Rattus norvegicus: one gene and its partners. The protein of the gene in region 1 purifies or fractionates together with the protein of each later gene. This does not show direct contact. Links are inferred from orthologs where the notes say so. Each region holds a gene or a part of one and is shown in the gene's direction. Other genes may lie near its edges. The genes, in order: Hdac11, Atg2b, Paxbp1 and Gcfc2.

What was found.
Region 2: the proteins of Hdac11 (region 1) and Atg2b purify together in Homo sapiens (co-immunoprecipitation; 3 studies listed by BioGRID and IntAct, counting the BioPlex papers as one, with this or other methods). This does not show direct contact. The link is inferred for Rattus norvegicus from reciprocal best matches to the Homo sapiens genes HDAC11 and ATG2B.
Region 3: the proteins of Hdac11 (region 1) and Paxbp1 purify together in Homo sapiens (co-immunoprecipitation; 3 studies listed by BioGRID and IntAct, counting the BioPlex papers as one, with this or other methods). This does not show direct contact. The link is inferred for Rattus norvegicus from reciprocal best matches to the Homo sapiens genes HDAC11 and PAXBP1.
Region 4: the proteins of Hdac11 (region 1) and Gcfc2 purify together in Homo sapiens (co-immunoprecipitation; 3 studies listed by BioGRID and IntAct, counting the BioPlex papers as one, with this or other methods). This does not show direct contact. The link is inferred for Rattus norvegicus from reciprocal best matches to the Homo sapiens genes HDAC11 and GCFC2.

What each region holds. Positions count from the first base shown.
Region 1 is NC_086022.1:125,203,657-125,211,786, forward strand, and holds the start of Hdac11 (histone deacetylase 11), read left to right. Parts: upstream 1-3,671; 5' UTR 3,672-3,741; coding exon 3,742-3,743; intron 3,744-3,749; exon of another isoform or gene 3,750-3,775; coding exon of another isoform or gene 3,776-3,846; intron 3,847-3,905; exon of another isoform or gene 3,906-4,208; intron 4,209-4,296; coding exon 4,297-4,445; intron 4,446-6,039; coding exon 6,040-6,140; intron 6,141-8,130. UniProt on the Homo sapiens protein: Responsible for the deacetylation of lysine residues on the N-terminal part of the core histones (H2A, H2B, H3 and H4).
Region 2 is NC_086024.1:130,309,868-130,317,367, reverse strand, and holds part of Atg2b (autophagy related 2B), read left to right. Parts: intron 1-512; coding exon 513-670; intron 671-980; coding exon 981-1,153; intron 1,154-1,691; coding exon 1,692-1,842; intron 1,843-3,258; coding exon 3,259-3,458; intron 3,459-3,607; coding exon 3,608-3,688; intron 3,689-5,647; coding exon 5,648-5,754; intron 5,755-6,195; coding exon 6,196-6,288; intron 6,289-6,703; coding exon 6,704-6,774; intron 6,775-7,182; coding exon 7,183-7,259; intron 7,260-7,500. UniProt on the Homo sapiens protein: Lipid transfer protein required for both autophagosome formation and regulation of lipid droplet morphology and dispersion.
Region 3 is NC_086029.1:43,771,858-43,779,357, reverse strand, and holds part of Paxbp1 (GC-rich sequence DNA-binding factor 1), read left to right. Parts: intron 1-236; coding exon 237-340; intron 341-1,192; coding exon 1,193-1,410; intron 1,411-1,918; coding exon 1,919-2,108; intron 2,109-5,816; coding exon 5,817-5,940; exon of another isoform or gene 5,941-5,957; intron 5,958-7,500. UniProt on the Homo sapiens protein: Adapter protein linking the transcription factors PAX3 and PAX7 to the histone methylation machinery and involved in myogenesis.
Region 4 is NC_086022.1:116,057,777-116,065,276, forward strand, and holds part of Gcfc2 (intron Large complex component GCFC2), read left to right. Parts: intron 1-681; coding exon 682-805; intron 806-1,950; coding exon 1,951-2,032; intron 2,033-2,420; coding exon 2,421-2,533; intron 2,534-4,420; coding exon 4,421-4,620; intron 4,621-6,565; coding exon 6,566-6,716; intron 6,717-7,500.

The sequences.
Region 1 (8,130 bases):
CCGTTGAGGTGGTCAGCAAGTGCTACAGACAGGAAACTTTTGAAGTGTCTTAGGACTGCCATTCTGTCATGAAGCCAGCCTGCAGAAAGGAGGCCACCGGCCATTGGTGACAGCTGCAAGTTTTTTGGAGGCAGCTGGCAGCTGCAGGAACCAATGCTCCCATGCCACTCAGGTGTGGTATCTTGGAGGCTACGTCTCAGGCTCCGTGGGTCCCCAATGTGTCTGTCTTTGGCAAGACCTCAAATTGGCCGTCCTTCTTCAAAGAGCATCCGATGCCAGGCCCCTGGTGGAGTGAGTGGGAGTCCTCTGGAAACCAGCCTTTTTATTCTGAGATGAGCTTCAAGGAGAAACTATCCCCTCCAGAGTTCCTCCACACAGCAACAGGGACAGCTGAGCTCCGATTGGTTGAAAACATGTACACGCAAATAAGGTACAAAATGGGGGCCAATCAGCGTACAGCTGTCAAACCCAGAGGAGAAAGAGAAAGCCTTCCCAGACTTAAAGTGTTCTTAATTAGGTCGACAGGTCCCACGTCCCTCACCATGATGTTAAGGAAGTGGGCACTGAGCTGTCAAACCTAGTTTCCTCAGTTTCTGGTTGCTATAGCAATGCTCTGATCACCTTTGCACCAGAAACTGCTGCAATGTCCAGGAGCCAATCGTTGCTGCCGTTGCTATGGCAACGTTGCTAAGGCAACAGTGTGCTCCTTGAGGATCTGCAGCCTGCTTCCCTGCCTCAGGTGTATTTGGCTCTCTTCTTGTCAGTTCAGTCTGGGGCGGGCAGGCTGTCAATCAGCAGTGCCACCAGCTTAGACTTGCTTGAGCTTGGTAGCTGTCAGAAAGCTCCGTATGGGAGCCCCTGCAACCCCTACCCCCTAAACATTGCACAGAAAATTCTGTACTCAGATTGGGGTAGTTGTGGTGGTGGTGATGGCGGTGGTGCTGGTGCTGACGTTGCTGATGGTATCAAACCCATGCTAAGTCCAGTACTCTACCATGGAGCTACACCTGCATTTCTTGCTCATTGTAATTAAAAGGTAAAGTGAATGGTGTGAAAGGGAAAGAATAATAAACATACAATGTTCAGTAAGTCCATGTCCTATCACGACGACGACATTATAAAGTGAAAAGCCACCTCTTTGAAGCAGCCTTCTGTGGTTGCTGTGAACCTGGGCCTCGGAGCCTCAGCTTGTACACTTTGCAATAATACATGTAGAACTTATGATTTTTGTGTCCTTTTTAAAAGATCTGCCCCTCCTGAGAGCTGGAGAAATGACTTGGTGGTTAAGAGCACTTGCTGCTATTGCAGAAGGCCTGGCATTAAATTCCTAGCGTCCACATGGTGGCTAACAACTCCAATTCCAGGGGATCTGATGCTCTTTCCTGGCTTCTGTGGACATTGCATACATACGTGGTACATAGACGTAAACAAAGGCAAAAACCCATATGTGTTTTGAAAAGCAAATGCTTGGTTTCTCCCACTAGCCCTTGGGTTTGGCTGAGGCTCTCTGCTCTGTCTACTGCATGCACAGCTTTGGCCCTGTTGCTGGGTCTTAACGGATGTGCTAGACTGCCATAACAAAGAGGCCCTCAAGTCGAACCACTCAAATCACACAGCTCGTTCTCACATCTGTGACCTTGCAGACAGGTGGTTCAGCCTGCTGTGAGAGTCTGAAGAGATTCACAGTCTCCAGTGTTCCTCAGACTACCTCCTTCCTCAGTCACAAAAACCAAACCTAGCTCATGCTGTTAGACTAACTTTGCTCTCTTGGGCCTCAGCTGCTAGGTGCTGAATGCTCTGACTCGTTCTCCTAACCTGATGCTTACCTGTGCAGCTTCCCAACCTCCAGAGCGAGTCTCCTGAGACCAGCCTCATGTGTTTGTGTGTCTCTTGTGTGTTTGCCTTAAGTTTTATGCATTTATCCACACCCTTGATATTTGGGAAAGTGACTTCGCCTTCATTATTTTGCCCCAGTTTCTCTTGTATAAAATGGGGAAAATTTTGCCTTCCAGGGTTGTTTAGAGTTCAGTGTGAATGAGGCTTTGGGGACTGACTTAGCACTATGTTACTGACTGGCACTCAGTAAGAGCTGATGTTATCTTTGGAGTTTTTCAGCTTCCCCAGAAGGTGCACAGTCAACATCACCTCATTCATCTCTAGATGTAGCACTGAAAGTCCAGGAAATAGATTCAACCTTCCAAGTCCAGGGTGCTGGCAGATGGCCCAGGCTGGGCTGAATACAGGCTGAATTCCTCATTGTACCAGAGGAATCAGGAAGACTCCCCTCCCAGTTTGTAATAACCAAATGCTGCTCCTTCTTTCTCTCAAGCCCATAGCAGCTTTGACTCATAAGTCCACTGTCTGATTTACTACAGTTCAAGCTCTGTAACTCCTAGCACATAGGCTAGGTCACATGGTGTAGAAACTCCCGCAAACTTCTTTTTTTTTTTTTTTAAGATTTATTTATTTATTATATATAAGTACACTATCTTCAGACACACCAGAAGAGGGCATCAGATCTCATTACGGATGGTTGTGAGCCACCATGTGGTTGCTGGGAATTGAACTCAGGACCTCGGGAAGAGCAGTCAGTACTCTTAAACACCGAGCCATCTCTCCAGCCCCCTCCCGCAAACTTCTAAGAACAATGAATTGCCTTTGTCCCCTGAACTGAAGGCAGTGTCTTCTCCAGATCAGCCCCACTACCCATGGCTGGTAGTAATTCCTGACTGACCTCACACTCCTACAGACAATTTTTTCCCCATCTCATCTTTGAAAATCTATATCCTGTTTTCTGAAAATTATCTAACAGTAGACACATCAGAGGCATTCTTCCAAACTGTCAGCCCACATTAGGACTTGGCTGGCAAATACATGCTGTTGGTGCTCATGCCAGAGAGACTGAGTTCAATCCTTGGAACTTACACAAAGGTGGAGGGGAAAACTTGTCCGACCAGAGCTGACTTCCGGATCTTCACATATGCATTGTGGCATGTGCCTCATGCCCCAAAAATCAAAACAACAAATGTTGCGGGTTCCCTTCACACGAACCTGTGGCTCCTGGGCTCCCAGCTGCCATGTTAGTCCCTAGCTGCTCCTCTGGTCAGCTGCTCCTGTTTGGTTGATGAGGACAGCTGGACCAACAGAGGTCCATTGTCTCTTCTTCTGACCTCCATTGTTGGGGCCTCCCAGGCTCCAGCCATTACAGACAGCCCCAGCTGTCGGTCAGCTTCCAGGTTCAGGGTATAGGGGAATAGAGACAGGAGAAATGTTCAGTTATACACGACTGGACCAGACCTGATCTACAATAGGGAAACAGGTTCAGGGCATTTTATGATTAAGTGGGAAGTGCTTATACCATGGTGAAATGGCCACAGATAGTACAGGAATGGAAGGCTGCACTCCAGGAAAGAACATATAGCAGGGCTGATAGGCCCAGAACAGACATCTCACCACCACACAGTGCAGGGAAGCCAAAGAACTCATCAACTAAGCAAGTATCTATTTCTACCCTGGGAATAAGGGCGGAGCTGCGCATAACCACGCCCCCCAGGCGGCACTCCATTGGGTGCGTCTCCTTGGCCGGCGCGGTCCGGTTGTCTGTGACGCAGCCGCAGGCCAGAACTCCACCCCCAGCTCCCAGCGCTATGGAGGCGTGTTCTGCGTAGGCCCTCCCCGCTACACCCCTCCCAACCCTCCCCGTGCGGAGTGGTGTCCAGAGCAGGCAGGGCCGGCTGCGGGATGTGAGTGTGCGGGTTCGCGCGTGGGACCAAGCATGGGTTCTGGGGATCCCCGTGGGCACGGCGGGACAGTAGGAGGAGGGCAGGGTGACCGTGCGGGTGAACGGTGGGTCTCCCTTCCGCAGGGCACCGCGGTGGGCTGCAGGGCTGCGACGAGGGCACAGCCTCCTGCAATCGCGGTCTACGCACTACTTCCCCCACCCCACCCCCTGCGCGTTTTGTTCCCAGCAACACAGATGCGTGAGCTAACTCGTGTGACAGCCACATTCCAGCCCTCTACACCCTACACCCCGCCTTCCCCCGTACAGGCCTTGGGCCTTGGCGCCAGTAACTCCTGAATACACCTGGCACTGGCATGTGACCTTGGGCACACCTGGTTCCCAGAGCTGCTGTGAGGACTGTGTTGGAAGCTGGTTTAGTCAAAGCCAGCCAGGGTTCAGGAAGGAGCTGTTTTCATTCCTGTTGGTTGTTAAGTGACCTGGTGTGAGTGGGGAGGGGGAGACTCTTTCCACAAGGAAGCTGTTGTCTATATCTGCGTCTCTTCTGCACGTTGAAGGCCTCACGCAACACAGCTGTACCAGCATGTACCAGAGAAACGCTGGCCCATCGTGTACTCTCCACGTTACAACATCACCTTCATGGGCCTAGAGAAGCTGCACCCCTTTGATGCTGGGAAATGGGGCAAGGTGATCAACTTCCTGAAAGGTAAGAGCCCCCCAAGACTGGCATCCACTTCCTCCATTTCCCTGTTCTCACCACCTCCTCAGACTTGTATCTACCTTCTCCATTTTTTCCTTCTTCAGGTCCTCATCACCCCCCTCGGTCCTGCATCTGCCTCCTCCATCCCTGTATTCATCACATTCTTATCTGCTTTCAGCCCCCAGACTGCCTCTGCCCTGCTGTTAAAGGGTCTTTCCAGACAGGCTGCCAAGCAAGAAGGGCCCTGTCTTGTATTCCCACCAGTTAGATCTAGTCCCTGTCTCCCCCCCTAAAAATCTAGAGCAAGCTCCTAGCTCTGCGTTGTGCAGAAAATAGGATCAAATTAGACATTATAACACAGCTGTTTCTGTTGGGCTTGTTTTTGTTCCTCTGGTGACCTCCTATCTACAGCAAGTGGTACAGCTTTTCCCTCCGCTGTAGGGACCGACCTGAACATCCAAAGGAAATCACGGACTAGAAAGCACACAGGTGACGCATGGTGTTATTGTAAGCCTGGGATACTAGCCTTGCACGTCTGTTGCCTGCACAAATGTTTTCCTGCTGGTGCTCTCTGCCCTGACCTGGGCTCCTGCCTCTTTCCGTGGCACAGCAGAAGGGCTCTTCATCCCCCTCAGCTGGGAGTGAGCAGCCAGTCCCTTTGAGGATGAGGAAGGATGGGAGGTAGGACCACAGGGCAGGCTCCTTGGGCGCCCAGGTAGGAAGGGAGCTGACTGAGTCTGGAGGTGTCAGAGGCCATGGGACACTGTGGGAGGAAGCCCCTGCCTGGATCTCTGTATAGATGTGGATGGGACTGGTTGGTTTCTGAGCATGACTCATTGACAGTAGACCTTAGATTCTGATTTCTCTAGAACCAGAGCATCATGGCCCAGTCTCACCGGACTTTGGGGGAAGTGTCTGGTCTCTCAGCCTCAGTTTCTTTTGCAAAATGAATCTTTGGTAGCCATATACAGAAACCTGTCCCTGCAAGCCACTCAGACACCCTGGTGTCCCCTATACCACCTACTCCTCTGTTTACTGCATATTTTAAGATGCTTTGAGATTTTTCAAAAACTTAACTTTGTTTTAAAAGGAAACACATGTCCTCAAAATGGGAAAAGGCAGTTTCACTTGCCATAAATAGAAGGTTGCAGCAGGAAGATAGCGCTCTGAAAACAGCAGTTGCGCAGCTCTGGCTTCTGCTGCCTGTGAGCCACTGCTCTCCTTTGGTTAGCAAGGGGCATGCTCAAGGCTCAGGCAGAGGAAAGGCCACATTGTCCCGAGCCACCTGTGGAGGGAGAGTTGCGCTGAAGAGCTTTTTCTACCTTGAGAACAATCCTGTTGTTTGTGCTGTCTGCTTCTGGAAGTCATCCATCTGTACCTGAGTTCACCTGGTGGCCGTCAGCAGCACAGAAAATAGAGAAATGGCTGTGTGTTTCGAGTGCCCCACACTGGCCTAGGGAGGCAGCCGTTCTCAACCCACAAGTTCACTGTGTGCTGAGGGGCTGCCAGGGGCTAGCCTGCAGCCTGAGGGAGGAGGGTCTAGAGGCTGGACCTGCTTTGAGAGCTGGGAAGGCAGCAGGGTCTTCCTCTGTGGTTCCAGAAGAGAAGCTGCTGTCTGATGGCATGCTGGTGGAGGCGAGGGAGGCCTCGGAGGAGGACCTGCTGGTGGTGCACACAAGGCGCTATCTCAACGAGCTGAAGGTACAGTACCAGGATCTTCGGGCTGTGGTGAGAAGCAGTGGCTGGAGGGGGAGAAGCTCAGCTTTAGGGGTCCTGTCCCCAGCACAGGGGAGGTTCTTAAGATAAGGAGGGGGCCATAAGATATCTCTGTGGGTAGTCAGCTCCCCATTGTCAGGGTATATGCAGACGGGGTGTGCAGACAGAACCCCTTAGAGGTTTGGGCATATTAGTGACTTTCAGCCTATGCTCTGGACAGGGCTCAAAGGCCGCTGCTGGCATCGCTTTAGTGGGAGGGAGACATTGGCCCTTGTCCTGTCCACAAGGCCACTTTATTCTGTCCTGTTTCTGGAGTGGCCAGAGACGATATTCCAAGACCTCCTTATAAATGAAAACTCTTGGGCTAAAATGGCTTTGAAATGCCCCCAGGGCTCGGGAGGGAACATAAAGATGGTGGTGGGGGCAGATAGAGGTGTCTGGGATGGACTGCAGAAGATCTTCCCCTCCCATGTGGGTCATGTGGTTGGTTGCCGCACTGCTGGACCCAACATGATTACAGGACCTGCTTTTTCAAGAGAAGCCAGAATGCTGCTTATTAAATGATATTCTCAGATTTCTTCCTTTTTTTCTATTTTTTTTTTTGCTTTGTGATTTTCTGGGGGGTGTTTTTTGTTTTTAGTTTTTATGATTACTGGGACTTAGCATGTTAGGCAAGCACCCCACCACTGAGCTCCAGCCCTAGCCCCACCCTGATTCTGAATGTGTTAATGGTAAGCTTTTAAATCCCAACTGTAGGCCACACTGGGCTACCACTGTCTGCCCGTGGCCTCTTCGCACAGGAGATTGTAAACTCCTATTGGAAGTCAAGGTCTTTAATATATCCTTTATGTGACAGGTTGGGAGTGGGGGGGTGGGCATGGTTGCTAGTTTGCCCTGGCTGGAACTGCATCAGGGTGCCATTGAGTCTCTACCTCAGAGAATGAGAGTTCTGGTTCCCAAGTTTCCTGTCAGAGCCCATGGCTTCAGGACTCTACAGATGGCAGAAGTCAACAGGCTGCTTCACTCTGTCTGGAAAGACCTTGGCTCAGGAGTAGTCTGTGCCTCCTCAAATCACTTGGGCAGGGTGCTGTTAAACATGGGGAGGGCCCTTGTGGGCCTCTATTCAGGACTAGGGCCACAGCTGTTGCCTCTTTTCCCTCCAGCCATGGCCTGAGCTGTGAGAATTCTAGATAGGCCATGGCAGTGTGAGCTTGGGAAAGATTGCCAGGAAGACGCTGGCTCCCAGGAGAGAGGTGTGAGGTGTTGGCTAGATGCCCAGTGCCTGGCTGCCCTGGTTTCCTGGGGCCCAGACATGCATGATTAGTCCACAGCCCAAAGCCTGGCCAGGAGTCAGAGGTGGGAGGGGAAGGCAGGGGTAAGATGCTCTGAGTTTGGACAGGGAGAGACCAAAACAGAGTGGGGCCTGGATGAGGCAGAGGCTGGGGGGATAGTTACTAGGATTCCACCCATTTATAAAACCTCATGGGAAACTTACAGAGCAGGGGTCCCAAAGACTATGGAAGCAGCATAGTCTGTGATTCCCAAATAGGAAATAAGAGCAGAGATGGGGTGGGGGTTTGGGGGGGGTAGTGGGGTGGAGGTGGGGGTGGGGTGGCTCAGCTATATCAACATAACACATAGCTATTCACCAAGAGGATGGGCGATGTAACAGTTGGCTCCAGGCTCTGTGGGAGCCAGATCAAAGGGAGAAACATAGCTTTTGTAATACACCAGGTCTTGTGTGAGAGTCTGGAAAGCTGAGGAGGAAACATGGGTTTTATCTTGAGTACCACGAACAGGTTTGCAGTGGGGGAGTGATGCACCCACTCAGATGAGATCCGTTATCTAATGTACAACTCAAGCACACCTCCCCCACCCCGTGTCTGCATTGTCTGTCCCTTCCCTCTACTGTGGGCATCCCAAGTGGTGTCTGGCAGGTCTCTAGGTTCCCAGGGTGGTGGTTCTTGGGTCTTTC
Region 2 (7,500 bases), on another chromosome or scaffold:
GGTTGCTGGGAATTGAACTCAGGACCTCTGGAAGAACAGTCAGTGCTCTTAACCACTGGGCCATCTCTCCAGCCTCTGTTGTTTGTTTTTTAAAAGAAGGTCTCACTGTGCAGCCCTGACTGGTCTGGAACTTGCTGTGTAGACCAGGCTGGCCCAAGATTGCTTCTGCCTCTTAGAATTGAAGACATGCTTCATTACACCTCACTGAGTTTTAGTCAGCTTCCACCTTTAAAGTGTCCTTAGTGGGTGTGATTAGGGCTTTGCGTGTGTGACACAGGCAACGCTAGGTGACTGTCTGATCAGGTGTGCTGTCTCAGTCCTTTCTCTGCTCTTGCTCCGGCTCAGCTGTGTTCCCGCTGAAAGCACAGAGCTGCTGTTTTAAAGCCGCTTCACAGCGTCGGTTTCCATTTCTGCTTGAAATCTAAGCTCACTTAGGATCCCGGAAAGGGGGTTTTCCGTTCATCTGTCTCCACTTACGAGCTTCCCGTTCGCCTTGTGCTTTGTGTCTCTAGGATCTTTAATGACTTGCTTCTTTGGGAGCCCACAGCTCCTTCACCAGTGGAGACACTTGAAAACGTTTCCTATGGCATCGGGCTCTCGGTGGCCAGTCAGCTGATAAACACCTTCAGCAAAGATAGCTTCAGTCCCTTCAAGTCCGCGGCTCCCTATGGTAATGCATTTTACATTGGTTCTGATATAAGCCCCTTATTTATAAGTCTGATGTCTCCTCTTCATATGCTCTACTTTGCTTGGGAATGTCTATGACTTCCCCATATCTGGGACTATTCTGATGAGGACTGTGCTGCTCAAATGTGGAATCTCTGGTGTGATCATCATGTACATGTTTGAAATTCCCTTGGAGGCCTGTGTCCCTCATGGTTCTGTCCTGTGTGAAAATGCAAAGTGCTGTTGTGGTCATTGTAAAGTGCTGTCTTGCGTAGCTGTCAGGACCTGTAATAGTAGATCTTTTCCCTGCGTAGATGAAGACAGTGGATCTGAAGAAGAGACTTTGCAGTATTTTTCTGCTGTTGATCCCAACTATCGTTCCCGTAGGAAAAAAAAGTTGGACTCTCAGAACAAGAACTCTCAGAGCTTCCTCTCGGTGCTTCTGAGTATCAATCATGGACTAATGGCAGTGTTCACCGATGTAAAGGTATGCTGCGCACTCTCCTATAATGAAGTGGGTGAAGGTGGGCTAGTGTGGGGGATGGACGCAGTGGTCCAGGATGGCAGAGACTGCAGCTGCTCTGGGAGCTCCTTTCTTTGCTCATCTAAGGCTGTATGGCCTCCCTGTAGAAGGCACGAGCTAATTTTGCCAGTGAGGGCAGTAGTTGTAACTTTTATCTTTCTCATTTTAAAAGAAGGTGAAGCGCAGGTACTTGTTACAGAAGACTTACATAGCACACATGTTATGCAGTGTTTTGCCTCACTGTATCGGGTGGCTCAGGAATCACACTGCCTTATGTGGCGTGGAAGGTTTCCTGAGTTAGATTCAGAGTGAGCATGCGGAGACACATTCTCTCTGCATTTAAATTACGGTTGATGGGGCCTGAAGCTCAGCGACTAAGAGCTCACCTACTATGTGCAACTACTGTGTGCGTTAGGTTCTATCTCCAGTACTAAAATTGAACAAAAGAAACAAAAAGTGACTTATGTCCCCTCCCCCTCCCCCCACCCCGCTGTTTTTTTAGCAAGATAATGGAGATCTGATGGAGAATAAACATGGTGAATTCTGGCTAGAATTCCACACTGGCTCCTTCTTCTGCGTGACAAAGTACGAGGGTTTCGATGACAAGCACTACATCTGCTTGCACTCCAGCAGCCTCAGGCTGTACCACAAAGGTAGGGCAATTGTGCTTTTTCTTTCTTCTGTTTGGCGAGTGAACTTCCTATTTGATGCAGTCTTGAGAATACAATGATGTAAGTTGTATTCTCTTGGGAGTTCTGGTTTTGTGGCCAAAATCATACTTAAATATTAAAACTTTTTTGTTTGTTTTGAGATAAGGTCTCACTGTATAGCCAACACTGGCCTTGAGCTTGAGATTCTCCTGCCTCAGCCTCCCGAGTTCTAGGATTGTAAGTACGCACTACCTCACCTGACTGAAAATTTTGAGTAGTTGTCTGAATTACTCTGAATAGGCACAAAGAGAGAAAAATCTTATTTTCCTAGCATTTTAGAATCTTAGTTTTTTTCTGGTGAGTTTTTGCCTCAGTCATACCAACATGGACAAAGAGAAGTAGGTTGTTGCTGCTAAGCTGGCTTTTTCCCCTGTGCCACTGGAACTGTGCCAGTGTCTGTGGGGATCTCTGCAAATGCACCACCAGCAGAGAAAGTTTAGTTCAACACAAATCAGTAGCCAGTGTGCTTCAAACTGCAGAGTCTGACACTGGGCAGTTTATTTGAGGCAGATTTCAGTATGGCATAATTTGGAACAGTCTCCTGCTGTAACACAGCCCTGTGTGCACAGTGAGGCATAGTTATATTGAAACCCTTCTCAAAGTCCTTGTCATTTCTTCTGTGAAGATGGCATGTATAGATAGACTACATGTGTCATCTTAAGGGCCTGAACAGGATCTGGCATGGTCTTAGTCATACAGAGAGTGCAGAGTTTACCCACCTCCAGTCCTCTTTGTAAGAGTCTGGGGTGCCAGGTATGACCTGGCCTAACAGGTAGCATAGGAGTCACCAGACTAATTAACTGACTCCGTCCCTAGCCTCCTGGGCAGAAAACAGGTTATATATCTCTTCCTTTAAAGAGACAATCCTGTATGTTTAATGTTCCTGCTTTCCTAGTGGTTGTCTATGAGCACTAGGCCCTCTGTGCCCCCAACTAGGTTCAAAGGAATATAGACTTGTCCTGGAAATTATGTCAGAAATGCTCTAAATCGCAGACGTCTCTGATAGTGAGCTGCCACAGTGGACATTCTGTGCCTGACCTCTTGAGATTGGGGCAAGAGCACCAATTGGATCAAGAGCACAGGTGAACCAGAACCGTGCATGAGTGACCTTGAACCTGTTGTCTGGGGAGCACACAGTGCAATGAGTCATGTCCAGAACTGTGCTCTCTCCCTAGTATCTCATTTAATGTATGTGAACATTCCCTACAAAATCCCATCTGCTTCTGCTTCTGAGCATTTTGGGTAAAGCATACTCAGTCTGTTCAGAGAGTCCTGTTGTGAGTTGTCAAAGTCAAAACAGTTGCGGAACTAATTGCAAGTGATCATTTTGTTGGTGTTTTTATCTCAACGTGTATCTAGGCATAGTAGATGGAGCCATTCTCCCTACAGAGACACGATTGCCCTGTTCAACGCGCCCACATTGGTTGGAACCTACAATTTATTCCTCTGAAGAAGATGGCCTCAGCCGAGCTGCCTCAGATGGTGTTGGGGGAGACAACTTGAATATGCTCTCTGTTGCAGTGAAGATACTGTCGGATAAATCAGAGTCCAACACGAAGGTGCGTGCCTTACACTGCTACCTACGATTATTGGTTTGCTTGCTTCCCATTGGTGATTGTATCAGTGCCCACACCTATGTTTTCTTGGGAAGACTTGAGTTGGGGATTCTGTGGATTAACGTGGTTCTTTGTGTTGTCCTGTGGTGCAGGAGTTCCTTGTGGCTGTGGGGCTGAAAGGAGCCACTCTACAGCACAGGGTGCTGCCCGCTGGACTCAGTTGGCATGAGCAGGTAAGAGCTGACACCTGTGTCATGTCCTTTTTTTTTCTTTTTCTTTTTTTCTTTTTTTTTTTTTTTTGGGGTTCTTTTTTTTGGAGCTGGGGACCGAACCCAGGGCCTTGCACTTCCTAGGCAAGCGCTCTACCACTGAGCTAAATCCCCAACCTGTCATGTCCTTTTAATAGCATTTACAAGTCACGACGCCCAGAAGGCAGGTGACTCTTTCCTCAAAATGCTGTCCCGATAGCTTCTCAGTGTCAGCATTGTTAGATCAGTCAAGAAAAGGAGTGCCTGTGGAATGCCGGGCCTGGAGGAGCAGCCAGTGGTACTGAGTGCTGAAAATCAGCAGCTCTTTTTTTTTTTTTTAATTTATTTATTATATACAGTGTAGCTGTTTTCAGATACACCAAAGAAAGCAATAGATCTCATTACAGATGGTTGTGAACCACCATGTGGTTGCTGGGAATTGAACTCAGGACCTCTAGGAAGAGCAGTCAGTGCTCTTAACCTCTGAGCCATCTCTCCAGCCCAATCAGCAGCTCTTTAAAGGCCACAATGTCTGCAGGCTAGTAGTGTGGCTTTGCCCAGGTCATTTCATCAGCATTTTTGCAATTAGTATCCAGTTGAGTCCTCCATACAGAGTAGAGTTAGGGTTCAAAATATTCTCTTTTTGTCGTCCGCCTACCTCTCTACTTATTTTTTCTATGCTTGAGACTAAACCCAGGGCCTCACACATGCCAAGTGTTCTACTGCCCATGATAATACAAAGCCTTAGGAGCTGGAGAGATGGTTCAGCGGTTAAAAGCACTGACTGCTCTTCCAGAGGTCCTGAGTTCAAATCCCAGCAACCACCTGGTGGCTCACAACCATCTGTAATGAGATCTGTTCTCTTTTGATGTGTCTGAAGACAGCTACAGTGTACTTATATATAATAAATAGATAATACAAAGCCTTGCACTGGACCCCAGCAGCACAAAAATGCAGCAGACATCCAGGACATAGAGATAAGGAAGCTGAGGATTTCCCTGAAATTCCTATTTCCTTAACTCTACCTCCTGCGGAAACCAGAGTTTTGAAAAGTCATCTTCAACAAAGTTCCTTCCAAGAATTGTTTTGGACAATATGTCAATTGTATTATTACGCATAGTTTTAATTTAATAATATTAATTTCATTAGATAAGGCTTTCTCCCATCCGGGCACTAAGTACCAGCCAGTCCAGCCCTGTTTAGCTTCCAAAACTGGAGTAGATTGAGAGTGTTTAAAGTGGCATAAGATGGGGTGTCTAAGGTGTCTGGCATTCAGTTACTGGATGTGACTCTTCATTCCAATTCAGCAAGTACTTTAGCCTTGTAATTTGTGTTACTTCTGGGACACAGCATCAGGCTGTGGTAAGAACACACAGTAAGACATCAGGCTGTGGTGAGCACACACAGTAAGACATCAGGCTGTGGTGAGCACACACAGTAAGACATCAGGCTGTGGTGAGCACACACAGTAAGACATCAGGCTGTGGTGAGCACACACAGTAAGACATCAGGCTGTGGTAAGCACACACAGTAAGACACCAGGCTGTGGTAAGAACACACAGTAAGACATCAGGCTGTGGTAAGCACACACAGTAAGACATCAGGCTGTGGTGAGCACACACAGTAAGACATCAGGCTGTGGTGAGCACACACAGTAAGACACCAGGCTGTGGTGAGCACACACAGTAAGACACCAGGCTGTGGTAAGCACACACAGTAAGACATCAGGCTGTGGTGAGCACACACAGTAAGACGTTTGCTATAAGTAGGTCAGTGCATCTCTCCTCTTAACATCCCTGTCATGCACACACTTTCAAAATGAACTCCTTCAGAATGACAGTGTTTTCTCATAGCACCCTAAGTCACTCTGTTCCATACTTGTTAAATGTATTCTAACAAAATGTTATTTCTTGTAAAGCAGGTATTATGTTTTTGTGATTGTAGATTTTAAACTTCTTGAATATTGCTGATGAACCTGTCTTGGGATATAACCCTCCAACTTCATTTACAACCTTCCACGTCCATCTTTGGAGCTGTGCCCTTGACTACAGGTGAGACCAGGACAGTTTTATTGATAGCACTGATTTTAGAACCACCAAGCTAGGTTCATTTCTCGGGATCCATATCACCAAAGAGAAGAACCAACTGCCCCAGTTTGTCCTTTGGCTTCCACACACACACACACACCACACAGCCACACACACATATGTAAGTAAATAAAGTGTAATAAAAATTAACACATTGATTTTTGGATAAATAATTCTACCTGCTGTGGGGTCGCACTGTAGCTCCAATACTTACCAGGCTCAGGTAAGAAGACTGAAGATCCGAAGCCAGTCTGGGCTCCATAGTGAGATCCTGTCACAAAAAACCAGAATCCTAACAGGACAAAGCAGAGCCCTCCAGCAATCCCATAATTGTCTAGCTGAGTTGATCGTGTGTTCGGAAGTGCTGCAGCAGGCTGGTAACCTGTTGCTTGTGTTTGCTACCAGGCCCCTTCACCTGCCCATCCGATCCCTTCTCACTGTTGAGACGTTCAGCATCTCTAGCAGCGTCGCCTTGGACAAATCTTCCTCCACTCTCAGGTACCTGTGACTCACCCTGCAGCGGCTGCTATTCAAACACATCAGCTGGAGATACAGGGCTCCCTTACCCAAACTGACTTAGTCATGCTTCCTCAGGGCTCCTTCCTCAGGGCTGTGCTCCTCTGCTCCTCTTGCTGTCCATTTCCACTTTAGGGGAGGACTTTACCCCTAGACTCTCAGGTGGCTGTTTAGGCCCTTTGATTGCTTTCCTAGTACCAGACGTGTGTTATCTCTGAAATGGAAACCTTTAGACAGGGTTCTCAGAAGCCTAAATGACCGTGCTTTGGCACCTCCATGTCTTTTGGGCTACACAGGTTTACAGGTGAGGCACTGAGCGTGGTGTGGTGAGGTGCTGATGGCGCTGTGCTAGTCCTCGGAGCTCAGTTTTGCAGATGCTGTTTCTTCTCTTTCCCAGAATCATCATGGATGAGGCTGCTTTACACCTGTCGGACAAGTGTAACACCGTCGCTATAAACCTGAACAGAGGTGAGGTCAAGGCAAACTCGGGTCGATTACTGTTGCTGGAATGTGGGAATGCAGTAAAGCAGTTTTAGTAGGGAGTTGCTTTGGAAAGGTGGGCTCTTCCTAGGGAACTTTTAACAGATGCTGAAATGTGAAATATTTGCAACAACTTCAGGTTTCAGTTTGAGGTCGCAATGTGCTAATGGTGTTAGCTGTGTGTTTCTATACAGTCTAAATATCTATTTAATATTTAGTCACCTGTTGTAGCTGAAATTACGTGAGGTGTCAGATGAAGTCAGTGAGTCCAGCCTGGCTGCACCTCTCACACTACCAGTCCTGTGTGAGGGCCAGGCATGGACTTTAACAAAGGTTAGGTTTTGATTGGATAAGCAGTTTAAAAAACACTACAGTAAATATTGTATTAAATCTTAGATTATGTTCGTGTGATGGACATGGGACTTTTAGAGCTGACCATAACCGCAGTAAAATCAGATTCTGATGGAGAACAGGTCAGTTGTAATAAGTGGAAATTTTTATTTAATCCTATTTGGAAACTAGAATTAAGTACTTTTATGTGACAAGACGAATGAGTGTCTATTTTATTTTAGATTTATTTTCTCTGTGTGAATGCTTTGCCTACATGTATGTATGTGCACCAGATGTGTGCCTGCTACCTACAACCAGAAGAGGGCATCAGACAGACCCTGGAACTGGAGTTACAGACAGTTGTGAGCCATTGTGTGGCTGCTG
Region 3 (7,500 bases), on another chromosome or scaffold:
AGCGCAAGGCCCTGGGTTCGGTCCCCAGCTCCGAAAAAAAGAACCAAAAAAAAAAAAAAAGAAACTAAGAAACCAAAGATTGCAAGAGAAACATTAAATACTATTTTAGCATTAAAGATGGTTGCCATTATTAAAACAGGAAAAGTCAGGAGAATGAACCAGACCAAGCGGACATGTTAGCACAGGGCCTCCTCCTCCCTGCTGTTGGATGCTGATCTCTCTTGTTATGGCCTCAGGTATTGAGGGGAGTGACGATGATGCCTTAGTAACTGGAGAGCAAGACGAAGAGCTCAGCCGCTGGGAGCAGGAACAGATTAGAAAGGGAATTAACATCCCTCAGGTAAGAAGACACTTCAAGAGTGAAAACAAGCAGACTGGATTTGTTGTTGTTGTTAAAGTGGAGAGGACCACAGTGAGTCTCTCCTCTCGGTCAGGTGTCACAGTTGGAATTGGCGTGTGGTCCTATATTCATCGGGTTGTAGAAGAAACTATGTCAAAGTTTGCTTTTTATAGTCAGACTGGTGGACCAATGTCCAGTTTCTCCAGCTAGTTCTCAGCAGCAGGGTGGGGAATCCCCTTTTAAGGTACAGAGGAGCGAGAAGGTGGAGGTTGGGCCCAGCACTCACTTAGCAAGTTTTCCAGGTGATTCTGTCACATGCTGAAGCTTGAGAAGGCTACCTTGAACCACATGTTTGTGTTTTTGTTGTTGATGTTTTAATTTTGAAGATGGGTTTCCTGGGTATGCAAACAAAGAGTTTGATAAAACCCCCTACCAAGATAGTTCCAGTGACGTGTTCTGTAGCAGCATGGAGAAAGAGCATAATGTGAGCATTTTTATATGTAGTGTTGGTAGTGTCGGTAGCAGACTGACTGTAACGAACTTTGGAGTGGCTGAAAGAGTCCTGGTTGTAAACCAAGTCACTTTTCCTGATAACACCTTACCTGGATCCTAAACTTTTTTCCATTTCTAAACTCTGAGAGACTATTTTTCTGAAAATCATTAGAAATAAAATGAGTGATTTTACCAGGACCCAAGAATTATACAACCCTATGTTTATTTGATTTTGAAGAGTATTGCAGTTATTATCTTAATTCCTTTCTGGGAACTGGATATAATTTTTGCTGTTTGTGTTCATAACTAAAGGCATTTATTTTTTAAATTAGTTTTCTTATACATTCACTTTTTTTTCAGGTTCAAGCAAGTCAGCCCACTGAAGTGAATATGTACTACCAGAACACTTACCAGACAATGCCTTATGGTGCATCCTATGGCGTACCTTATAGTTATACAGCCTATGGATCATCAGATGCCAAGTCTCAAAAATCAGATAACACAGTCCCTTTCAAAACTCCCAGTAACGAGGCGGCTCCCATTACTATTGATTTGGTAAAGAAACAGCTTAAAGACAGGTAGGGCAGATCAACTTCTTAAAGACCTGTCTGCTAGCTTTCTGGTCCCTCAGGCAACCTGTAGTCTGGGTAGCAGATGCAGAATGCCGGCAAAGAAGACTCACTGGCCTATCTTCACAAGCTAATCAGAAGATGACTTCATGCTCTGCTCTGCTACCTTCAGGAGTACTTCTGTGGAAGCCTCAGCGTTATTAAAATGCTGCTCCCTGAGCTTGTCGAAGACAGTGCTGAGTTTTCACCTCTTGGACTCTGAAAGTGTAGCCAAGAGATGGGGGGAGACCCAAAGCAGAAGATTTTGGTTAGCCCACCAAATAACTATTGGAAGTCTAAACTGCCTTTTTAAATTTATTTTTTATTTTTATAAGAAAAGCAGTACAGACAAAAAGATGCATTCCAAGTATTTTCATGTTCTAATACTGGAACTAAAATGCATATAATATTGCAAGAGTCCTGACAGCATTGAATTCTAGATGTAAATGTGCTATATTTATCCTTTTGTGTTCTGAAGGTTGGACTCCATGAAAGAATTGCACAAAACCAATCGACAGCAGCATGAAAAACACCTGCAAAGCCGAGTGGACTCCACCAGGGCCATTGAGAGACTAGAAGGGTCTTCTGGGGGCATTGGTGAACGGTATAAATTTTTGCAAGAAATGCGAGGGTATGTCCAAGACTTGCTTGAGTGTTTCAGTGAAAAGGTAAGAATGCAAAAATAATAATCTCTTTGAATAAGGCAAAAATAGGGAGACCTAGACGGCCTTTCATAGAGCATCTTATAGTTCCCAGAAAAGAATGCACCCAGCTTTAGAAGTGCTGAAGTCATGCTCCATTTTCTTTACATCATAGTTGAGGGCAACACAGTGAGTGCTTCAAACAAATAGAGAGAGACTGTCTCAGAGTGCATGTTTTCACACTGACAAGTCCTGTCTCAGTACCATGTTAGTTGCTGGTCTGCACTGGATTGATAGAATAAAAGGGATTCACCTAATAGTGTTTTGTTTTTATGATTCAGGTCTAATTTCACTTCTACACTATTTTTTAGTAGTTCTAAACATTTATAAGTAGTGCACTATATGACAGGTTTTTGCTAGTTAGTTCTGCTTTTTATGGTGGTATTTCTGTTAGTTTTTGTCTAAGCCAACGCTTCATTCATTTCAGAAGCCATTCATTATGTTTTTATTCATTGAACATTTCTCATTTCTGAATTCACTGCTCTAGTATGACAATTGACAAAATCTTTTGAGTATATTTAAAAACGAGTTGCATACGCTAACTTCTCAAGTAACTTCCTGTTTGTTCTAAGATAATTCTCCATACATATCATGCACAGATATATAACATAATAATTTAACATTAGAAGGTGGGAGAAAGAGCGGCAAGATGGCTGAACAGGTAAAGGTGCTTGCTGTTGAAGCACCCTGTGAAGTGGGAGGAGAGAGTGGGCCCTCCTTCCACCTAGGTGTCCTCTCACCTCCACACACAGGCAGAGGCATGAGCACCCCATACATCATGCTTACACACCATCATAGGTAAAACTTAAGGAAAAGTAGATATCTAGCTTGATGGGCTGGTTTATAAGCATTAGTTGGTGTATTTCACCTCAGCTTTAAAAAATATTAAAAGTATGGTCCTTACATTTTTTTTTCCAGAATCTTGGCTAGGAAGGCAATTTTTCTTTATTATTAACTAGGTGGTTGTTGTTGTTTCTTTTGTTTCAGTAGAATCTATAGAAAGTATGGTTGGATGTTGGCTTCAATACAATAAAGCCAAAGGTTAAGGAAAGTGCAGTTAGACTTGTCTTCCTGATGGGTCTTGGTTCAGTTGTGTGTGGTCAGATGGGACCATTCGTCATAGCCTCCCCAGCACTTTGCATGGTGTGAAGTATTGTCCAGTGCCCGATGCACCTGCAGTTGTCATATCGGTTAGTTGCTTGGGGCCAGGAAGGAAACATGAGTTTAGATGTTTCAGCAAGACTGGAAGTAGGGCCTACGTGTCAGAGCACCAGAATAAGGTCCTTTCCTTAAACAGTGCTGTATGTGTGGGCATGGGCTCTGGGACCTGCTTCTGTAAGTGTCTTGGCTTTGGCTTTATAGAACTTACAAACGTAAGCAGTCAGGGTTGCAAGTGTGATGCTAAAGTGGATAGCACTGCTAGCTATGCTACCCTAGATTAAGAAGAGTTAGGACACAGTGTCTGCTTCTGTTACTGGTTCATTACTGTGCTTCCTCTTCTGCATACCGTGTTCCTGAAGAAGTCTACTTCAGATAGTTCTAGTTGGCTATAGAGTCACTTAGATATGTTGTACCAGATCTGAACCCTTACATATTGAATATATTTTCAGGAAAAGGAGCAGATAGTCCTGTATTTCAGAGATGTGTACTTCATTCTTACACCTTCACATGCATAGAGTCAGTTGTGTGTGCTTCTGATGAAAATGTCATGAGTTGTCACCCTTATGATGTTTAAGATAACAATTTTAAATTAGGGATAATTGGATAGGTATGAATGTTATGTTTAGTTATGCTGAAATACTCTTTCAGAGTAAGTTAAATATTCTCCTCTTTGTGAAGTTAGAGTGCTTTTTAAACTGAAGTTGTCTGTTGGTCATTTTAACTTGCACAGCTTAGTTTCCCTGTCAGTCATCTCTTTTTTTCATTTACATTTGCTCCTAAATAAGTTTAGTGATAGCTTGTAGTTTTTAAAGGCTAAAGAAACTGTCATGGCAGACTCTTTAGATAAATCCATGTTGTGAACTTTGAAAGAGATAAAAAATTGAAACTTAAGCTTTAGTTCCCAGAGTTGTCTTCTGAGTTTTAAAAAAAGGCACTCCAAGTTCCTAAATGAGATAATTCTTTACAGTACCAGGACAGGCTCGAGCCTGTAGGGAATGCTTTATCTATGACTAAGGACACATTTCAGTACCTTCGAATTTACTCTTGCAGGATTTCAAGAAGAACATTACTAGTTATAGATGTGCAGTCCAAGCCACAGTGATAACAGCAGCAATTGGGAAATAAACATTTCAGATTAGGTAGTGACTTTGGACTACAGAATAATCATTGCCGACTGGGGACATGCTTGCCCATGGTCTGGCATATTAAAGAACAGAGGACCTCCTGCAGCCTGACCTTTCTGTGAACATTTGCCACACTGGCAGTGGAGTTCTGCAAGAATGAAAGCTTTTCTTACAGGCATCTGTGTATCTTACCTGGCTTTTTATTTCCCAGCTACGGGCTGTCTGGTCTAGGAAAATGCTGTAACACTTGGTGCCAGTTTTCTAAACGCTGATTAGTGTCTTTTCCCAATTACCAACCGCCAGGAAACATGAATTTCTGGTTTCCTTGGGTTACATATAGTGGTCCTCTGTGTTTTGTGGAAGTTTCATAGCATTTGGTTGTTTAGTAAGGTATTTATAAAGAAAGATGTTCTGGTTTTTGAAATTTTAGATGCCATGTTCTGAAGTCTTTGTATTCATTTTGTACTAAGTAAACTAGATAAGTATATTAAGTTAGAAAATTTTGTTGACCTTGAAAGCTTATAATTTATTTGAAGATTTTATTATAAAATAAAAACTCAAACATTTGCTAGGAAGAGAAATTTCAGTTTGATTTCAGACTGGCTAGCAATAGCTAGACGTTTTATTTACCTTTTTAGTTTAATTGTAAGATGTACAATAACGTTGCAGAATAGTGTAATACTATTGTAGGGTATGTTGTATGAGTGAGTGGCTGAACAACTTTTTTTTTTTTTTTTTGGGGGGGGTTCTTTTTTTCGGAGCTGGGGACCAAACCCAGGGCCTTGCACTTCCTAGGCAAGCGCTCTACCACTGAGCTAAATCCCCAACCCTGGCTGAACAACTTAAAATAGACTAGTTAATAGCTCAACAGTCCTTTAAACCAGGAAGTTTACTAAATGTGGTGTGTGTCTGGAATTGCATCAGTCAGGAGGAAGAGTCAGGAAGCCAGCTAGGGCTCATATCGCCCTAGATCAGGTGAAACTACATAGACTTCATCTTCAAAACAGAAAGAGAAACCTATAAAATTTGCCATGTGGATCATGTTGCTGGATAATTAAAATATAAATTTGTAAGATATATAAATACTCACATTTTTCTAACCATAAAGCCTGATCTCTCTACCTGTTGTTCTTATTAACACAGAAGCCTTACATTTATTAAGTTAACTTTTGCTCCGATAACCAGGCACTGGACATTTTGCTTTGTACGTGGGTTGAAAAAGTATTGCTTCCTGACTTAGAGTGACTTGCTGTTCTGCTCTTGTTGGGGACGCCTGCTTATTTTGTCCATAGAGAGAGTACTTTTTCAGAAAAGCGGAAATAGCATGGAACCCTCAAATGCGGACATGGCTGAGGAGTTTGGTGTTACGGAGTGTGTTGTATTTTTACAGGTGCCGCTGATTAATGAACTTGAATCAGCAATACATCAGCTGTACAAACAGCGAGCTTCCCGCCTTGTCCAAAGACGACAAGATGATATTAAAGATGAATCTTCGGAGTTTTCAAGCCATTCAAGTCAGTCCATCTTGAAGGTTTTTATTTTTCATTAAACAACCTTGTTTACTTAGTGCAGCCTAATTGAAAATTACAGACCTTTTTCTTTTAAAAATTTTCCTTGTTCATAAGTTAGGTAGATCTAAAAATTGTAATGCATGTACTTGGGTTATGTTTAAGAAAGTATGACCTAACCAAGGAGCCAAATACTGTACTAATATTCTATCCGTCTCCTCTTCCCTGGATGTGCTTTTCAGTCAGCCCTTAGAACACACAAACACATGGTCAGCATTATCCTAAAGCCACTATCTCTCTGGCCCTAATTGACAGCCCACCCCCACCCCAATTGCATTCTGCTCATGACACTGATAAATACTGTTTTGATCACAGCAAGAGATACTGAATTTAGGGATTTGGAAGTTTCGGGGAAAGGAGCAGGGAGGAGGTTGTGTTGTGTGACACGTGATAGCTTCAAAATCAGAGGAGTTGTTGCCACCCTGGGTAAAGCAAATGCTTTTGTATTTCTTTTAAAAGTGCTTTGTTTCTAGTTCGCTGTATATTACATGTTGTATATATACAGTTCTGGAAATTTTGTGAAAATTGTAGAAATTGAATTGCATTGTTACTTATGACATGAATTAAGGGAAAAAAAAAAACACCAAAATTAATGGAAACCTTTTCAATTCCTGTAGTTGAGATTCTTCAGCCAGATGCCTTAGAAACCCTTTTAATCATCTCCCTCATTGCATTCCATATCCTTGGGTGGTTTGGTGGGAATTTTCTTAGTGAAGGTTCCTCGTGCTTTCTTTTGTCCTTTCTTTGTCCCTGTGCTAGCAGTCTCCATATGTATCATACTCCATATGTATCTGACGTGCTCATTTAAAATGCAGATCTTCTGGTCCCATACCTGGAGATTCTTCCTAGGGCCTTCCTACCCAGAAATCTGCATGTTAAACAACTGCTCCTAGTGATTGATAAAGGAGCGTTGTGCTGTTCTTAGAACAGTGCATAGCCTGTCTTCCCCGTCAGCTACTGGATCCATGGCAAGCATTCTCCTGATGTCTGATGGGGTGTGAGAGAGGCATAAAGAGAAAATACTGCGGCACTCAGATCTGACCCCTGCAGATTCAGCTGTAAGCCATATGAATGGCTTTGGCCTGGTTTTGCTGTAAAAGTTTTAAGTTACATCATTGACTTCGGGCACGCACCTAAATGACTAATGCATGCCTCCCAGATCCCTTTAGATTCAGAGAGCCAGATATCGGGGGCAGATTACAGGTAACCATTGTACATTTAAACGTACGTTGTACGTTTCCTTTTAAGTTTAGTGCTGTGAGCTCTGTAGCACATTGACTGTCCTCACTGTTTACAATTTATTCTTCATAGTGTGGGGCTGGGTAGTTACCTGGGATTTGAAGTGATAGTTACATGATGCATGTTAATTAGACTGAAAAATGGGAAGCATTGACAGAAAAGTGAAAAACCCAGTGTTTTTGAGGGATATAGTTGACAAAAATGTTAAGAAAATTATATGAGATATGAAGGAATCAATTCAGTGTTCCTTTTAAAAGAACGGTGTCA
Region 4 (7,500 bases), about 9.1 Mb from region 1:
GACTTCCTATATCTATTTTATCCAGAAAATATTGCTTTATCACACGGTGTCATTTGGTATTTGCTTTCTGGGTTTTTTTTGTTTTGTTTGTTTGTTTGTTTGTTTGTTTTAAGTGTAAATTTCTCTTCATTCGTCCTTGAATTCCACTTTTAAAATCATACCAGCCTACATGGGGTTGCCTGTATCCCTGGAAGCAGCAGTAAGCCTCAAGAATGACATAACTGCTCCCTAAAAAGGAGGAGTCCAGTTTCATCTAGTCACACATTCTGGAGCATAGCCCTCTTCTCTGTCCCTAGTGACTCTCTTCCATTTTATGAAGTTTATTCTGTTGCGGGACTCAAACCCAGGGCCTTCGACATGCTCAGCAGGCACTGTACACTCAGCTCTAGCCCAGCTCCGTTCTTCAGTTTTTCAGATTTTTACCAGCTTCTTCTAGTATCTCCTTGCTGTCTGTCTGCATTTCCCCCTCACCTTTCTCTGACAAAGTCCTTCCTTCTACCCATCCCTCAAGCACATGCTCCTCACCCCTTATCATTTGGTTTCATAATGTGTGATACTTGCACTGATATTGGAACTATTTATTCAAGAATTGAATGTATACATATGATTACAAATAATGCTTTTTAATCCTTTTTATAATTTATTATTGATGAACTGCAAAATTTGGCTTTTGTGTTTCAGATTAGCAGCATTGTGGAACTAGAGTCATCCATGTACACACTGCTTTTAAAACACTCAGAAGCACTTTTGAAACGCAGGCAAGATGAGCTAAAATGTGAATCCTCATATTTGCAACAGTTATCACGTTAGTGTTTTATTACATTTCATCACTTGTTGAGCTGAATTGCCATATGGAGAATAAAAATATTTTTAGAGTTCTGTGTTTTAAAAAAAGCTGTTTAGTTGGGGTGGGGGTTACTATTGCTGTGAAGAAGCACATGACCAGCAGTGAGTTAGGGAGGAAAGGGTTTATTTTGCTTACACTTCTGTGTAGCAGTTCAAGCACAGAAGGAACCTGGAGGCAGAGCTGATGCTGAGGCCATGGGGTTGCTGCTTACTACCTTGCTTTCCTACTTCCTCAGCCAAACCCAGGGATAGCCCCACCCACAATGGGCTGGGTGCTCCCCATGAATCACTAACTAAGAAAGTGCCCTACATACAGTGCTTGCATACAGACAGACCTTCTGTCTTAAGTATATTTTTCTAGTTATGTATGCATTACCATGTGTGCAGGAGTGTTCAGAGGTCAAAAGGGTGTAAGTTTCCCTGGGCCTGGCAGACTAGACACTTAAAAGCTCCTGTGGGTGCTTGGAACTGAACCCTGGTCATCTGGAAAAACAACCAGTGCTCTTAACTGCCGAACCATCTCCCCCGGCCCCTCGACACAGAGTATTTATGTGCCATTCAATAAGCAGAGTAATTGGAAATGACTCCCCAGCAATTGAGCTCTGTAGGTGAAGGGCTGCACAACTGGTGGGTCTCAGCAGAGTTGGTAAAGAGTGGCTCTCAGCTTCCTCACACCATATTGCCGCTGCACTTGTGTCTTAGCACGATGCTTAGGGAAGGAGATCCTGTGTGGTGTGGCTGACAAGAGTGAAGTGACTGTCAAGCTCCCTCCCACATTTGGTCAGTTATAAACACTGCAACGTGCTGAAATGGACAGGCCATAGTATAAGTACGATGTTGGTGGTGTAAATATCTCTAGTACACGACTATGGGGGAAACGGGGAAACTGCTCGAAAAGAGAGACACCTGCTCTGGTAAATGACATACACCAGCAAGGCCAGTGGGCTTGATGGCTGTGAATACTGATAGGTAATGGGCGTTACGTTCTGTGGCATAACAAATGTACACTATGAGACATTACGTGTTCTTGTACACACATGAAGTCACCTGTTCAGTGATTCACTGTTTTGAGACTAGTACAAAGCTAATTTTGTGAATTAACAGGCAAAGATGAGACATTGGCAAGTGGAAGCTTGGCTCTGGATGAAAAGGATCAACGGATTTTAGAAGAGATTGAAGCTCGAAGGTATGTGTTTGAAGTGCAGACTTAACACACTGAGCAAGGACTTGTCACTACTTCCGTAGAATCAGCTGTGTGGTAGTCCCAGTTTTCGAGCGTGATGTAAACCCACAGCTGAGTTAGTCCCGCTGGCCTCCCGCTCAGAAACAGACTGGGCTCAGGAGGGTCGGTGAGGTGGCCATTGCTAGGAGGGTTGCTTTGAACTGGAAACTACCTCTAGCTAGTGGACTCTCCCTAAGGAACCTTTACATTCAGAGGATGACCCAAGCGGGGCATTAGAACCAAAGCAGCTGAGGAAGCAGAGAGTGTCTGAGAGTAGTGACATACATGGTGCCATCCGGTGACGTGTCACTATAAAATAGTAACATTGTGATTACTTTATTGCACAACACAGGGTGCAGAGAAGACAGGCAAGGGTGCTGTCGGGCAACTGTGACCATCAGGAGGGGACATCCAGTGATGAAGAGCTGTCTCCTGCAGAGATGACTAACTTCCACAAGCGCCAAGGTCAATTGCCAAGATTCTAACCTATTTTGAAATGTTGAAATAACGAGGAAGGCTTTGTTGTGTCTGCTTTTAAATCTATATTACTAAAACAGGAAAATTCAAGGAAAGTGGAAACATCTTCCTGTAAGATGGCTGCCTCTGGAAAGGGGGCGGTGTGAGCTGCTCCCACGGCTCTTGGCTGCTGCTGGGTTACAGTGGGCATTGTGACTGCCCTTTCCTTATGTTGTACCATCTGCAACTAAACAGCTAAGTCACTGAGGCTGATTGTGATGAACTCGCCTTAAAGGCATCACGAAGCCGATTAAACCCTCAAACCCAGCAGTGCATCTCAGTGAATGTTGCAGCCAGCACGGTGGTTCTGAAGCCTCTTAGGTTTCTTACTTTCACCATCAGTCACCTTTTGTTTTTCAAGGTGTTTCGTTTTGTTTTTGTAAGGTTTATTAGAGGTGTAGATGCCCCTGTTGGACAGATTGGGCAGGACCCAGTGTGCCTGTCCTTCAGAGTGTTGTGGCAGTGATTGATTGGAGTTGTTGCACCTTGAATTGGTGTGGAGTACTAAGACTTGGGCTCTGTATCCTTTTAGTTCCCGTTTCGTTACCTGTCCACCACACGTGCACTCATGCACACACAAAGGAAGAAACTGATAGAACTGACACTAGAAAGGCATGTATGTAACTCTGTGTCCTCTTTCACAGCTGCGTGCCCTTTACCTGTATTATTATCCCCTAATGTTGCCCTTTCTTGCTCTCCTTTCTAAATGATACACTGTACCTGCACTCGATATCTGTGCAGTGTAGGCTAGGATCTGTACAGGAGACAGAACAGAAGGTCTCAGGTTCTTCCTGACATTGGATGACTCTTACCAGTATACATTCTAGGTTCATCCACTTGCATGCAGACTTCGTGATTCTGTCTTTCCTTAGCACTGAAGAGCACTCCATGTTGTACATACACCAGGCTCTCAGTGTCAGCTCAGATGAAGACGCGCTCCTTGGTTGGTTCCATTTCCCGGCTATAGAGCATCAGAAATCAAGGTGCCGATCTCTGTGGTAGGGTATGGAGATCTCTAGGTGTGTGCTTAGGATTAAAATTGCTGGGCCATTTCTAATTTTTTGAGGAACCTCCAAGCAGACACCACCAGTGAATAAGGCTCCTTTCCCTCATCTTCTCCAGCATTGGCTACTGGGTTTTTTGATGGCCTTTCTGACTGTGGTGAGGTAGAGTTACAAAGTAGTTTTAATTTGTGCTTCCCAGTAGTTTGGGGTGTTCTCCAGCCTTAAAACTTGTTATCGGTCTTTCATTTTCTTCTTTTGAAACTGTTCAGTTCAGTAGCTCACTTGTTGTTGGGCAGTTTCGTTTCCTTGGTTTTTAATTTCTGTGGGTCTTGGTAAGTTCTAGATCCTAAGCCTGTGTCTGAGCACAGCCGGTCAGGCTTTTCTCCTGTTCTGTGGGCTGAGTACTCTGCTGATGAGTGAAACTACTTACAATGGTCTGAGAAGGCTGGTAGTGCAGCTCTTTAAAAGATTCTGGGCTTTGCTGTTTACTAGATCCAAAGGAAAGGCGCCTTTTTCCTTGCCTGCCTCAGTTCAGTTGTTTGCCTGCCTGCTTTGTTTAAATCAATGTATCTTCTCTGCCTTAAAGGGAAGAGGGCAATGGTAATGAAACGAGACAGTGAGTGTATGGTACATTGGCATATAGACAGGTACTCAATACATGGTACGCTTTCTTAGTATCAATAATATGACTTTCAGTATTAAAGTGACTTTAAATAAAATGAATATATGAAATAGAAAATTTCCCAGCCCAGCTGGTTAAGTAGCAACTCGTGACTGTTGGTAAGAAACAGGCTTAAACTGCATAACATAAAGAGACTTACTTTGTTTGCAGGTGACATTTTACAGGATTGTAAGAAAGTTTTTGAAGATGTGCATGATGATTTTTGTAACGTCCAGAATATTTTATTGAAATTTCAGCAGTGGCGAGAAAAGTTTCCTGATTCCTACTACGAAGCCTTCGTTGGTTTCTGCTTACCAAAGCTTTTAAGTCCCCTGATACGAGTTCAGTTGCTTGATTGGAATCCTCTTAAGGTATCAGTGTTTAACATGTGACTGTCCTGGTCATGTCAGCTGCTTTTGCTCTTGCTGTCAGGTTAGGTCTAAAATATCACAACCTCAGCCTGGCAGGATGGCTCAGTATACAAAGTGCTTGCTGCCAAGGGTTATGGCCTCGGTTTGGACTCTGAAACCCATGTGATAGAAGGAGAGAATTAATTTCCACATGTTATCCTCTGGCTTCTACACATGCCATCTCCCACTTGCACAGATTAGTAAATAAACATCATTACAAAGTAAAAATGAAATCATTTGCCCTTAAAGTTGTAGATAAAATTTAGAGCCCTGGAACAACTGTCTAGAAATTTATCTGAACTGTATTGCCTGGGACCCTTACATGATGTCGGGGGTGGGGGGTGGTAAGGAAAGAGACAGACAGACAGACAGACAGACAGACAGACAGAGACAAGCTGGAGTAAAACCTAGGGCCTTCTATGTGCTAAACAATCATCAAACCGTTGAGCTACATCCCCAGCCATCTTTTGCTCTAAAGGCATAGAAGACCAAACATTAATAATTCAAACACATTTTAATACCTTTGCAATGTGTGGAAATGTCCCCAGAACTATGTAATACTGAGTTTGGTTAACATTATGTAGTACTGAGTTTGACTTGCAAACCTGTTTTGAGGATTATGAGGTTGGAGATAACTCATTTTTGAAAACAGTAGTAAGCGTGATATACAGAAGGTAATTTGGAGTTGTTTTTTGTTTATTTGTTTTGTTATGTTTTGTTTTATTTGTTGAGACAGGGCTTCTCTGTACAGCCCTGGCCGTCCTGGAACTGACTGATCAGGCTGACCTCAAACTCAGAGATCTGCCTGCTTCTGCCTCCTGAGTGCTGGGATTAAGGGTGTGCACCACTACCACCTGGTGGGAATGTGGAGTTTTAAAAATGTTTTATTACATGTATTTGTGTGTGTGGTGGGGTACACACATGCCACGGCATGCATGTGGAGGTCAGAGGTCAGCATATGGGAGTTGGTTCTCTCCATTATATGAGTCTCAAGGATCCACATTAGGTCATCAGACCTGGCAGCAAGTACCTTTACATCCAAGTCATCTCAGAGACTTGAAAGTAGTGTTTTAGGAAGCCACTAGAAGTAGTTAACCTGGAAGAAAGAGAAATAAAATATAGAAGACTATTTATATAATCAAAGTTCAGGGTGAGCCTGACAAAGGGATGCTGGGTTATAAGTGTGTCACAAAATAAGAATTAGTAAAATAAGGAGGAGCTCTAACTCTCCATGTGCAGACCCTCCAAGGCCTGGATCCTGCGCTGAAGAATGGAGCTCTGTAAGGAAAGCTCTCAGCACGAGCTTACAGAGAAGATGGTGGAGAGTGTCAGTGTCTCTTCCTTGGCCTTACGCATGTGTCTTCAGGCTTCCTGGGACCACAGCACCGTCCCAAGTTAGAGCAAGGTCATTGCTATGGAACTGTTAGGGAGTGTGTGGGCAGCACCTGGGGTTAGCCATTCTGGCATTTCATTGATCTACAAATAGTAATAGCCTTTGCTGTTTGCTGATTGGCTAACAAGCTAAACCACATGCACATTACACATTTATTCTTAAGTGAAAGGACTGAAGTCAATTTTGCTTGAGGCAGTTGAATGAATTTTACCAGTGAATTCTGTAGCAGTTCCAAATGCCTAACTCAAAGATGTTATTTCACTCCGGTCAGAGAGCCGCCATTGCTGGTCTCTGAACGTCCTGGCGCACAGTGGGCCACTGCCGCATTTTTGTTGTACAGATGAATGCATGAAACACAGTTCTTAGTTATTCTGCCTCAGTGCTGTATACATAGTATTAAAATACATGATTATTCTCTTTGAGCCTTAGGAAAAATCTAGGAATTTTGGAAAAAGTTAACTTAGAAAATACACACATTTAAGAATGTAAAACTTTTATTATCTCATCTTATAGATGGACTCCATGGGTCTAGACAGGATGCCCTGGTTCACAGCCATAACAGAGTTTATGGAGAGCGGCATGGAAGATGTAGGAAAAGAAGATGGTTCCGATAAAAAAATCTTGTCTGCTGTCATCAACAAAACAGTTGTTCCCCGCCTCACAGGTATCCCTGGTAATTTTGATTCTGTTAGAACTTTGGAGATACAGGAAATACTGTGTGTGTTAAAGAGCAATAGATTTCAGATTGACCTGGTTGGAAAATGCTTGTTTGTGCAAATGTTGGCTGTCATAGTAGTAGTGTAGTATTTGACCAGAGTATTTTTACATATTCCAGAGAAATGTGTTTTGAACTTGGCTAAACTTGGAAGGACTTATTCTAGACAATGGTTTTCTTTTTAACTCTTGTGCTTGAGCCATCCATCCTATGGCTAGGGAACATCGGTTCTGTGTGTTCTGAAGACAGCAGTCCCAGGGAGTGCTGAAGGATGCATTGTTGTACAGGGGAGCAGGAGAACATGGAGAATGTTTCTGGGGTTCTGACTCAGTTGACTTTTCCTGACTTGGGAATCTGAAGGAGGCGGCATCTGGTGGCTGTGCTGTGTTGGTGCCAGTCCCTGAGTGGGGTGTTCGATGGGTGGCTGAGTGTACCATCAGAGGGGTTCAGGCAGGAGGCAGCTGGGTGTGGGTGGCACTTCATACCTCAAAGTGATGTGCAAGAAGGAACGAGAAGGATATTACCTCAGTCCTAAGGTCCTTTTTAGCATTTAAAAGCCACAGAAGTGACAAGTATCAGCAAAGACCAGAGAGGATACCAGGAGGACTGCATCCCAAAATCAAAGAAAGTATTTCCAGGGAGAAAGGTGGGGCTAGTTGTGGTTGTTGACAGTAGTCACACAGTATTAGTCACACAGTATTAAAATCAACCTTTAAAGCTGGCTTAGGTGCAC